Linked DNA regions of Mus musculus. The protein of the gene in region 2 interacts with the protein of the main gene of each other region in a biochemical or structural test. Links are inferred from orthologs where the notes say so. Each region holds a gene or a part of one and is shown on either strand. Other genes may lie near its edges. The genes, in order: Rev3l, Mad2l1 and Ubd.

Evidence for each region.
Region 1: the proteins of Mad2l1 (region 2) and Rev3l form a complex in vitro, tested with the Homo sapiens proteins (2 studies listed by BioGRID). The link is inferred for Mus musculus from reciprocal best matches to the Homo sapiens genes MAD2L1 and REV3L.
Region 3: the proteins of Mad2l1 (region 2) and Ubd form a complex in vitro, tested with the Homo sapiens proteins (2 studies listed by BioGRID). The link is inferred for Mus musculus from reciprocal best matches to the Homo sapiens genes MAD2L1 and UBD.

The regions. Positions count from the first base shown.
Region 1 is NC_000076.6:39,829,622-39,833,277, reverse strand, and holds part of Rev3l (DNA polymerase zeta catalytic subunit), read right to left. Parts: intron 2,380-3,656; coding exon 2,297-2,379; intron 761-2,296; coding exon 635-760; intron 1-634. UniProt on the Homo sapiens protein: Catalytic subunit of the DNA polymerase zeta complex, an error-prone polymerase specialized in translesion DNA synthesis (TLS). Lacks an intrinsic 3'-5' exonuclease activity and thus has no proofreading function.
Region 2 is NC_000072.6:66,538,199-66,541,741, reverse strand, and holds the end of Mad2l1 (mitotic spindle assembly checkpoint protein MAD2A), read right to left. Parts: intron 2,778-3,543; coding exon 2,674-2,777; intron 1,972-2,673; coding exon 1,799-1,971; 3' UTR 1,792-1,798; exon of another isoform or gene 1,317-1,791; 3' UTR 635-1,316; downstream 1-634. UniProt on the Homo sapiens protein: Component of the spindle-assembly checkpoint that prevents the onset of anaphase until all chromosomes are properly aligned at the metaphase plate.
Region 3 is NC_000083.6:37,192,851-37,196,606, forward strand, and holds Ubd (ubiquitin D), read left to right. Parts: upstream 1-1,041; 5' UTR 1,042-1,101; coding exon 1,102-1,122; intron 1,123-2,395; coding exon 2,396-2,863; 3' UTR 2,864-3,251; downstream 3,252-3,756. UniProt on the Homo sapiens protein: Ubiquitin-like protein modifier which can be covalently attached to target proteins and subsequently leads to their degradation by the 26S proteasome, in a NUB1-dependent manner.

The DNA.
Region 1 (3,656 bases), on a different chromosome or scaffold from region 2:
AACTTAGAGCTCACTCACTTACTAGGCTGGCTGGCCCAGAAGCCCAGGGATTCTCCTTACTTCCCAGTCCAGGGGCACTACACACACATTGCCATACCCAAGACTCACAGGTGGGCGCTAGGATCTGAAGCAGCAAGCATCTCAGTGACTGAGCCATCTTCTAAGCATCCCCATGCCCCAGAATGTTTTCTTAGAAACTTATATCCTATAGGTTTTATTGTTAATAATTAGCACACATTTAACTTAGTAAACACAAAAACTTTAAGGGAAAAACCTCTGTCCTATAGCCAAGTAAAACAAAACAACCAATTTAATTAGGAAGAATGAACATGTATTAAGGGTAAAGAGAAGACTTGTATACATAATTCTAAAATTTCAAAATATTTTCTAATTTAATTTCTATAAACTAAATTTTAGTTATTAATTTTGCAAAAATGTGAGAATATAAATCAATCTCAGTAACTGGTCAATATTTACTTTTTTCTGTTTTACACAAGTACAGTAGAATAGCAAGATGGAGATCAACAAAGAGAATTTAATATATCCCTTTCTGGTTAAACATTTCCATCCTTGTCCTATGGACAAATCCTGCTAACTAAGCATAGTGTGTGCAGCCTTAAAGCTGCAGTTTTACCTCGTGTAAAGCCTTTGCCTCCTGTAAGTTCTGTATGCTGACTTTGAAACCGTAGGTATTGTTTAAGGACGGTCCATCAATCTGAGAAGTTTCTTTCTTTGGAGTATTTACTGCCGCAAACTGATTCTATTTAAAAAAAAAAAAAAAGGCACATTCAGAAAGGGCATAAGCAACCATTCTTTCTTTGGATTATTCTTGCTTAAACATTTTATGTACTTAGTAATAAATAATGAACATGATAAACATAAAGATTCTCTTTAAGTTTAAGAAAAAGTTTATTAACATTCATTTTATTTTAGTAACTGTAGAATAGGATGCAATCTATAAACAAACCCTGATTGACAAGCCCCAATCCTGAAAGCAGTGGTCAGGCAGAGCTCACATATACTTATATCATTTACACTACATCACTACATGGATATGGACCTTGACCTTTCTTGAAAGAACATCAAGTATTTAACATTTACAACTGCTTGGCTAACATTTGCAAATGGTGCACCTTACCCCACTCTACACATATTGGAGAAAAGCTTTCAAGCATTTAGAATAGACACTTCCTATTTCTTTTACAATTTTCTTCTTTTCTTGCTGCCCCCCCCCTCTTTTGTTAGCCATGTCTCATGCTACTGCCCAGATTGGCCTAGTACTCATGGTGATCCCTGTCTCAGACTCCCCAATGCTGGGATTACATGTGTGACCAACCATATCCAGCTCTCTCTGTTCTTAAAATACCTCTTATGCTATTTAAGTAGATTAACCATTTTATGTAACATGTTGACTTATGTTTACAATGCACTGCTACTTGTTTTTAATATCAATAGGTTATAATTCAAAACCTTTATAAATCAAAGTTTGTAGTATAGCCTCAGTATAAAAATACATCTTATATGTAATGACCTTTCTGAGTAGTAGATAATATGGAAGTGGTTTCTGTCATTTATTTCCAAAGATAATGTCTAATATGTATAGAAGTTCTACCTGACTACTGCTTTCATACTTCTCAATTAAGAACTATCATATCTTTAGTATTTGAATAAGGACAGTTATAATTCCTCAACTTCAATAATACATAATGCTGCTTTCTTTTGTAACTTGGTGAAGAAAATTAAAAATTAAGTAATATTTGGGAAAAAACCCAAAGAAAAAAATATATTTTTGTTGAGATTTAAAAAAAAAAATCACTTATTTAGTCAGGTGGTGGGCGTACACGCCTTTAATCCCAGTACTTGGGAGACGGAGGCAGGTGAATCTCTGCTCGTTTGAGGCTAGCCTGGTCTACAGAATGAGTTCCAGGACAGCTGGGGCTCTATTACACAGAGAAATCCTGTTTCAAAAACAAAACAAAACAAAACCAAACAACAGAACACCAACTCAAGCAACTGAACCATTCCTTAAGCTCTGCTGTGATAAGATGCTCTGATGCTGTTACCAGCTAATGTATATGTATCGGCATAACCTACATTCTGGCTGTCATAGTCACTGTCTCTGGAATATTTGCATTTACACATAAGAATCTTTTCTATCCCAACAATAAAAAACTAGATTTTTCTCAAAGATGTGTAAATAATGATGGCAAAAATAATACACATTAAGTTAGTACACAGAGAGCTCTGAAGCGCAGACTTGGCCTTGCACTGAGCTGTAGGTGTCTGGCACAGTTACCTCCACTTGCGTTGTCAGGAGAACTCTCCTGAGACCATCAGCATCACTTCCTTTCTTATTATACAACTTCTGGGTTTTTGGTTCTGTAGAAAGAAATTTCATTTTTAACTTGTACATCTGCTTCTCTTTCTTAAAGCAAATTTTGTTGTTTCAATCAAATATCATTTGTGAATACTGCTATATGCATTTTTTCAGATTTCATAATTTTAAAATGAAATTAAAACCTCCAATTTCTACAAAATACTTCATACTTCTACATTTTAAAATAAGCACATTTATGTTTTACTACTGAGCTAGAAAACTTAGTCATTACTCTTGGGGCTAATTCACTCATTTATCATGTGTTTCTGATGAGGAGGGAGTGACATAGTTTCTTTTGTATTCTAGAAAGAATTGTATATGGAAGTGAAATGACAACAGTTTCCCTTATCTGTGCTGATTGTTCTGGAACCTCTGGCTTCTGTTTACACTGTTTTGCTCTACCTACCTACCCCCATAATAATAGCTTTTAATTCATAAACTAGGCCCAGTAAGATTAACAAACCCAGTAATAAAACAGAATTATAATATACTCTAATAAGTTACATGCATGTTAGCTCTTTCTCAAACATTCTTATTTTCCCCACTGTTTCAAAAAGACTGTGTTTTCCTGTTCCCCTTGGCATCTATGAATCTATAAATGGTCAGCACCATTACTTCTATGCTCCAGAGCCATGAAGTAAAATAAAGGCTATTTGAACATGAGTGCTCCAATCCCACAACAGTTGGATGGAGTACTGAGACAACTACTAAATGATGAAAAAGGGTATCATGGATAGAATGCATACATCAGACAAAGAGATGGTTCATATTTCATGATATTCAAAATAGCACATGACTTAAAACTTATGGATCATGTACTTACAGAGTATTATAAGAGTATTTTTGGACTGCAGTTGTCTGTATGCAACTGAATTTCCTACAAACCAAATTCTGAGTGAGGGAGGAACTAATTGAGAATTTATATCTATCTAATTAAAGCTTGGTGTCTTTGAACTGAAATATGTGTAGTAGGTACACATAAATTATTTCTTCTGATTGCCATGCACCGAGAGTGTCTAAGAAGGCCTGTAGACACTTAGGCCAGAGATGATAATAAGCCACATAAGGTTGTGGTGGCAGAGATAAAATGAAAGAACTTGGTAATGGATTGAAAATCAAGGTGCTTACCAAGACAATCAGGTGGTGCTACATATATATTGTGTCTGACTCTGGTGACTGACGGGGTCATAGTACTATTCACTGAGAGAGAGAGACAGAGACAGAGAGAGAGAGAGAGACAGAGAGACAGAGAGAGACAGAGAGAGAGATGGACGGGGTG
Region 2 (3,543 bases):
ACTTTTCTGGAAAAATCTAAATGTTGGAAAATTAGAACCAACACATCTATTAAGAGTAGCAATGATGCAAAGGATTAAGCATGGTGCTCAAGATCATAAGAAACACAAGGCTGACAACACAGCCTAATATTTGAACTAATTTCAGAGGGCATTTGCGTCTTCACATTAACTGTACTGTTGTGATGAAAAAGGTGGTACGTAGTTGTTTGGGGATGGTCTTGTGGACTGTGTGCTATGCTGAGATCTGGTTGCAGTCTGGAAGTTGGCATTGTCATGGTATTTGAAGCATCACCTAGCTCAATGTGTAAAGATTGGTTTCCACCATGTCTGATTGGTTAATAAAGCCCTACAAAATGTAAAAGTAATTTTGGAGGCTTTTCTGTACCACCCTTGTTCCCAAATAAATGATACAGACATGGTATTTTTATTACAAGCTTCTTGTGCTAACTGGGCAGTGTTCTCATGTGTTCTGACCCGGCTATGCTGGCCTGGCCTACTATTATAACAAGGACTGCAACTGCCAATATCCAGATTACAACAAGATCTCTGAGCACAGCAATCAGCATCTGAATTTCCAGTGCACAAAACCATCCCCATCACATAATCAAAATGAACACAATCCATCCACTCAATCCACTGAAGTATCTGACTATATTAGCACCAAACTAAATATCAAAGATACTGTAACACAAATTTAAAACACAAGGCTTAATTTTTTTGTATCACTGACTTTTAAAGCTTGATTTTTATAAAACATTAAAATAAGAGTTCTTTATTACAGAAATTAAACAGCATCAACTGCTTTGTGAGCTCAAGATATATACAACAAAATCAAATAATTAGCATGTATTTCAATATGGGGTCTATATAAAGAGAAATGTGTCTTACTGCTGCATTTCGTGGGTTCTTCCTGAACTTACCACAGAATCAGCAAGAGTGCTACACGTTATTAAGGGAGCCAACAGATTCACTGTGGGATGGATTCCTTTAACAATGGTCACTGTAGGTAGAAAAACTTCTTTTAAAAAGCTAAATACTTTGTCTAATGATTTTGCTCAGAAGAATCTTGACCAAGATATAAAGAAGCATCTAAATATAAATACAGCAGAAGGTATAATGTGATGGGGGATGGTATGTGTACCGTCTCTTCATTGATGGGGTTTTGTAGGCCACAATACTATTCCCTTTGTGGCTTGTGGTTGTAAATCAGTGTAGACGGATTTCTTCAGAACTGGTAATAAACTGGGGTCCTGATTCTTCCCTCGTTTCAGGCACCACCAAATCTTTGTCAGTGTAAATCAGCAGACCAAACGAACCTAAGTTGGGAATGAGAGTAAAGTACAGAACTTTTGAATAGTAAAGCTGTCCTCCCTGCCTCTCTCACTGGATCCGGATTGGCAACATTCCTGACTGACCCTCAGAACTAAAAAAGCTTTGATCCCTTCTGCTGTGTTTACATTTAAACGCTTCTTTATATCCTGGTCCAGTTACAATGTTAAGGGAAGTAGTTAGCGTTTTAACAGAAGTTTTTCTATGTACAATGACCATTTTTAAAGGAATTCATTCCACAATGCTAACAAAATCTGTTGATTCCCCTTAACAATGTGCAGCACTCTTGTCGACTCAGACAAGTCCAGGAAGAACCCAAGAAATGGAACAATAACACACATTTATCAATGTCGGATCTTAGCTTTCTTCACCGGAAAATTAAACAAGGAAATGTAGCAACTCTATTTGACTTAATTTCTGGAAAAGCACACTTGGGAATGACAATTCCATCCTTTTCCTCACCGTCTCGTCAGTCATTGACAGGGGTTTTGTAGGCCACCATACTATTCACTTTATGGATTGTGGTTGTAAATGAGCGTAGACGGACTTCTTCACAATTGGTAATAAATTGCGGTCCCGATTCTTCCCACTTTTCAGGTACCACCAAGTCTTTGTCAGTGTAAATCAGCAGATCAAAGGAACCTACGTTGGGAATGGGAGTAAAGGAAAGCTGTTCAATAGTGAAGTCTCCTCCCTGCCTCTCTCTCACTGGGCCTCACTTTGAACCACCTCTTGCTAGAAAGGTAGCTTAGCCTGGTCTAATGAATCTTTTACTTGATAGAAACTGGGTGTAGAACGGAGCATTATACTTCCTAGTAGAAAATAAAAGTAGTAAAACTGTGAGAAAAATTTCAAAAGTATTGTTGTATACTTCTGTTTTTTAGGGTTTTCATGTTTTTCTTCATTTTCTTGAGTGTGTATGTATGAACACACAGGCGGAGTCTCCAAATTAACAGCTGTGCTTTCACTTTATTGACGAAGCAGACCGAGAGCTGGCCAACGTGGATAGTTCTGGGAGCCAGATTGCTCTGATGAGCCTATTCCTGCCTCTCTGGCTGGAGTTATAGGTGAGCCATCACAACCATCTGGAGGATCCTGGTGATGGGAATCCTAACTCAGGTCCTTACAGTTGCTCAGCAAGTATTTAACCACTGAGCCATCCCCCCAGTCCTTGTCTCCACAGTTTTCAGATATGCATGTTTTTATTTGTGCTGTATTCTGCTTCCCATATCCCATTTATGTTACAAGGCAATGATAAATTAAGAGATTTAACAAATGTAGGCTCCTCCTAACGGTAATGAACATTTTCTCCAGCAAATTTAAGTTAAGTTGTACAATACTTACAAGAAACTTCCAACAGTGGCAGAAATGTCACAGTAGCTGTAATCTGTCTAATCACTGAGCGAATTTCATCCTGTATGGCTTTCTGGGACTTTTCTCTACGAACACTATAAAAAAAAAAAAAAAAAAAAAAAAAAAAAATCAAAGAAATAACTCCTTCTAGGTTTCATTAAGTTAATTAAAACACGTTGGTAACTCTCTCTGAACAAAATGCTTCCAACAACACAGATGCAATACATTAGGAGACTAAAGATTAATGGCTAAAGATATTCTTGGGTTACTGTATCTGTCCTTCCCATCATTCTTTAAGGCTGATCTTAGTATCTGGTCCTTCTGTGCATGGTAAGTTTCCCAACCACTCTCAGTAAGCATATTTTCAGTAAGTCTTTAACATAAAGGAAAATGGATTCCAACAAATTAACTTGGTAGAACTTTGGTATTTTGCCCACATGCACATTTATGTGCACCACATGCATACCTGTTGCCGGGGATCCCCTGAAACTGGAGTTAAACAGAGTTGTGGGCTGCCATGTGGCTGCTGGAAACTGAACCTGGGTCCTCTAGAAAAGTAGCCAGTGCTCCCAACCACTGAGCCATTTCTCCAGCCTAAATTTTGACTTTTTTTTTTAAAGGTAACATCTAAATACCGGATTCCTGATTGAATCAGGTAAAATAAATTACATACAAATGTTTTTATAAGCTAACGACTTCCTATAGATTGAAGACTTCAGAAACAAACTGCTCTTCATTACAGTACCTTCCAGAAGCACATGCTTAGCATGATAGGCATTTCTGATGTAGAGTGCTTGCAATCTTTAGTTTACAAAGTTCACGGCAATAGGGGAAGTACAGTAGAGCTTCATCTAAATTAGG
Region 3 (3,756 bases), on a different chromosome or scaffold from region 2:
AGGTGAGAAGGAAGATTTGGGAGGAATTGGGGGAGGGGAAAACATGATCAAAAAAAGAAAAAAAGGTTTTTCAGTGGATGAGTACATAGCCACTTCAAGTACAGAAAACAAGAGGAATAATTTGGAAAATTTACAGAGTTCTTTGGGGGGGGGGGAGAACCCCTGAAGCTGTTTAATAAACAATTTTGAAAATTAGTTTCATGGAGTGTCCTACCTCAGAAGCCAATGTCAAACTTGGAATATTAGGAGTATCAGGTTTCTTGAGGAGACAGCTCAGTCACAATCTTGGTCTCATTCAACCAACTTTCAACAGTGAGGGAATAGCACCATCACATGTCTCTGGCCTCAGGGAGAGGAGGCATCTGAGAGCCAAGGGGGTGGGGGTGGGAATCCAGGAACTGTGGTGCACATATGGAGAAAGGTAGGAGTCAGAATTTAACTGTTGATTTTGGATTGTTCTCAAGTAGTATGTTTGGTTTGCAGATTCTGAGTCAGGTTGGGAAATGTATTAGAGGTTCAAGAACCAAGAATCCAAAGTAAGTGTGTGTGTGTTTGTATGTGTGTGTGTTTAAAGACTTTATAAGCAAGGTTCTATATGCTGGGGAGACACCAGGAATGGCCTTCTATGTTAACCTATATTAAAAGAGGGGAACATATTTTTACAACATAATGTATGTAGCAAGCGGTACCCTACCCCAGGACACCAAGTCACAGCTGCAGTCCAGGCTCATTTAGGCAGTGAGGGAGGGTAAGCAAGCATCACAAATTATCAAGCTAGCTAGTGGAAGATTAGTAGTAGCTGGGCAGAACTAAGGCAGGATTGGGAGAAGGTAGGGGGATTTTCAGCCTGGGCAAAATTCCTATCTTAGAATGACTATTCTATGCACAGAACTAGGAATACAGATAGATTGGCTAAGGGGAGAAATCTGTGTACAAACAGTGTCCATTATGAACTCTACCCCAGCAAAAGTGAAAGGAATTATTGAGAACAAAGGTTGCTGCTAAACTGGACAACACATTGAACTTGGGGATTTCCAACCCAGCTACTCACATATAAGCAGACACAAGGACTCTTTTCTTATTCAGCCTCTGACTACAGACATGGCTTCTGTCCGCACCTGTGTAAGTTGGGGTTTGGTAAACGAATGGGAAGGAAAAGTATTTCCATGTATTGGGGGTACAGTTCCACAACTTGGGAGGGGACAGTGGTCTAGAAGGTGAGGCAGTTGGGTGAGAAACATTTAGGAGAAAAGGCAGACATTGATAACTGCACAATAGGAAGAGGGTACTCTGAAGAGAGGTTGGTCATTTGACTTATTAAACTTTTAAAATATTTTATTTATTATATGTGTGCATGTATATGGTGGGTCAGAGCCAGAAGATAACCTTCAGGAGTCAGTTCTCTCTCTTCACCACATAGGTTCTAGGGATCAAGCTTAAAGGTGAGGCTTGGCAGCAAGAGATTTTATTGACTGACTGATTGATTGATTGATTTACTTATTTGTTATTTATTTAAACAGCTGAGCCATTTTTGCCATCCCCACTTAGGAGAAATGGTAGGACACTTTGCTTCATGAGGCTGGCAAGATGTGAAATTAGGAAAATAACTTACAGAGTTCTCAGCCTTAAGCGTCTCTCTCTTTTCAAAGGAAAACTTCATAAAACTTGTTTTTCTTGTTATTGGTGACATAACTAACACATTACCTTAAACAGGTTATGCTCCAATGTAAAGAATGTGCAATTAGGGCAATGTCCAATACAAGACAAAACTGAAGAAGAATATGGAATATCTAGGTTGGGAAGGTTCCTTGAATGGAGTATGAGGAAGTTTTCATAAAGTTTACAGGCCTGATTCTTCCCTAACTTAATTCTTCAGTAAATGAAGTTAAACTCAGATATAGTTTTTGTCTTCTGTGAATGGGATCCTGGTCTAATTTAAAAAGGATATTATGTTCTATATCAATGGATATAAAATACAAGAGATACACATTAACACCATTAAGCACAGCATCACCACAACATGGACATTACCAGAAATGGACGGGAACATTAATAAGAACGCAGCAGTGTAGAGACTATGTCTTAACTAGGGTTCTTTCTGAATTAGTCACAGAGGGTGAGTCATGGCTGAGAGCATTCTGTGAGGCTGCCAAATCTTGGAAATCCTCTTTGGGTTTGCTTAGGGATCTGTATACAACGTTTGAAGCCCTATAGTTTCACGAAGCCGATGTTCTGATTTGGGTTATGATGTAGGAATCAAAAGTTGCAAGAGAGGGAGAGATGCAGACTGTTGAGAAGGAGCCAGAGGGCCAACCAGGAGAACAGTGAAGCTGAGGAGTAGGGGGTAGAGGGTGGCAGGCGTTCTTAGATGACGCTCTTGGCTTTCTTTGCCTAGGTTGTCCGTTCAGACCAATGGCGGTTAATGACCTTTGAGACCACTGAGAATGACAAAGTGAAGAAGATAAATGAACATATTAGGTCCCAAACCAAGGTCTCTGTACAGGACCAGATCCTTCTGCTAGACTCCAAAATCCTCAAGCCCCATCGAAAATTGTCATCCTATGGGATTGACAAGGAAACCACTATCCACCTTACCCTGAAGGTGGTGAAGCCCAGTGATGAAGAGCTGCCCTTGTTTCTGGTGGAGTCCAAAAACGAGGGGCAAAGGCACCTCCTCCGAGTTCGAAGATCCAGCTCAGTGGCCCAGGTGAAAGAGATGATCGAGAGTGTGACCTCTGTGATCCCTAAGAAGCAGGTTGTGAATTGCAACGGAAAGAAGCTGGAAGATGGAAAGATCATGGCTGACTACAACATCAAGAGTGGCAGTTTGCTCTTTCTGACAACACACTGCACTGGGGGATGACCACGGGGATGCGGTGATGAGAAGCTCAAAGCCGATTTCCTCTGAGCTATTACCAATCACATCTCTTGATGATATAAAAAATTAACGAGAATGAAATAAATATTTGAGGGAAGTGGAGTAGATTAAAAGTATTTGTCAAGTCTGTGAATCTTGTTTCTAACATAGTTCATTCGCAGGGTTGTTGATGAGGGCAAAAGCTGAACCTTTAGTCAGGTGTGGTGGTGCAAACTTAATTCCAGGACTTGGGATGCAGGGGAAGGTGGATCAATGAATGATTGTTGAACCAAATTGAATTTTAATTATAGAGTATAGAGAAAGAATGTGTTATGGAATATGATTGTTTACCATAACTGGATCATAGTCTAATAAATTATTTAAATTCAGTCATCATCTTCTTAAAGATATTTGGTATGAAATAAAACCTAACACCCTCTCCACGTGTCGGGTGGGCAAGGAAGGGGAAGAGCCTTATCCTATCCGGCAGATGGGAGTCCCAGTTTAACCAGGGCCAGCACAATTGCCTATTATTTGCAGACATTCTTTGACGTTCTGTAGTGGGCATGGTGACCTGGCTAGGTTTGCATTAGCTGGACTGGCTCCCCAAGAATGGAAACCATGTCTTGTTTCTGGAAGAGATCTCTGTAAGGTGGGGCCCATAACTTCTTTGTTAACCCGAGAGAGACTCCACCTGATGGGCGAGGTCATGGAATTTTTTAAGGTCTTTTGTAAGCCTGGAGAAAAAAATAAAGGTCAGCACCAGGGTGCTCATCATCTTATCTCCAGGTGGATTCTTCAGGGCTGGTACAAAGTCTCCTCAGAGTGCATCTGACCCCCTCCTGCATCCTGCTTCCCTCCTTACTGAGAGTCCCAAGAGCCATTTACCACATCACCAT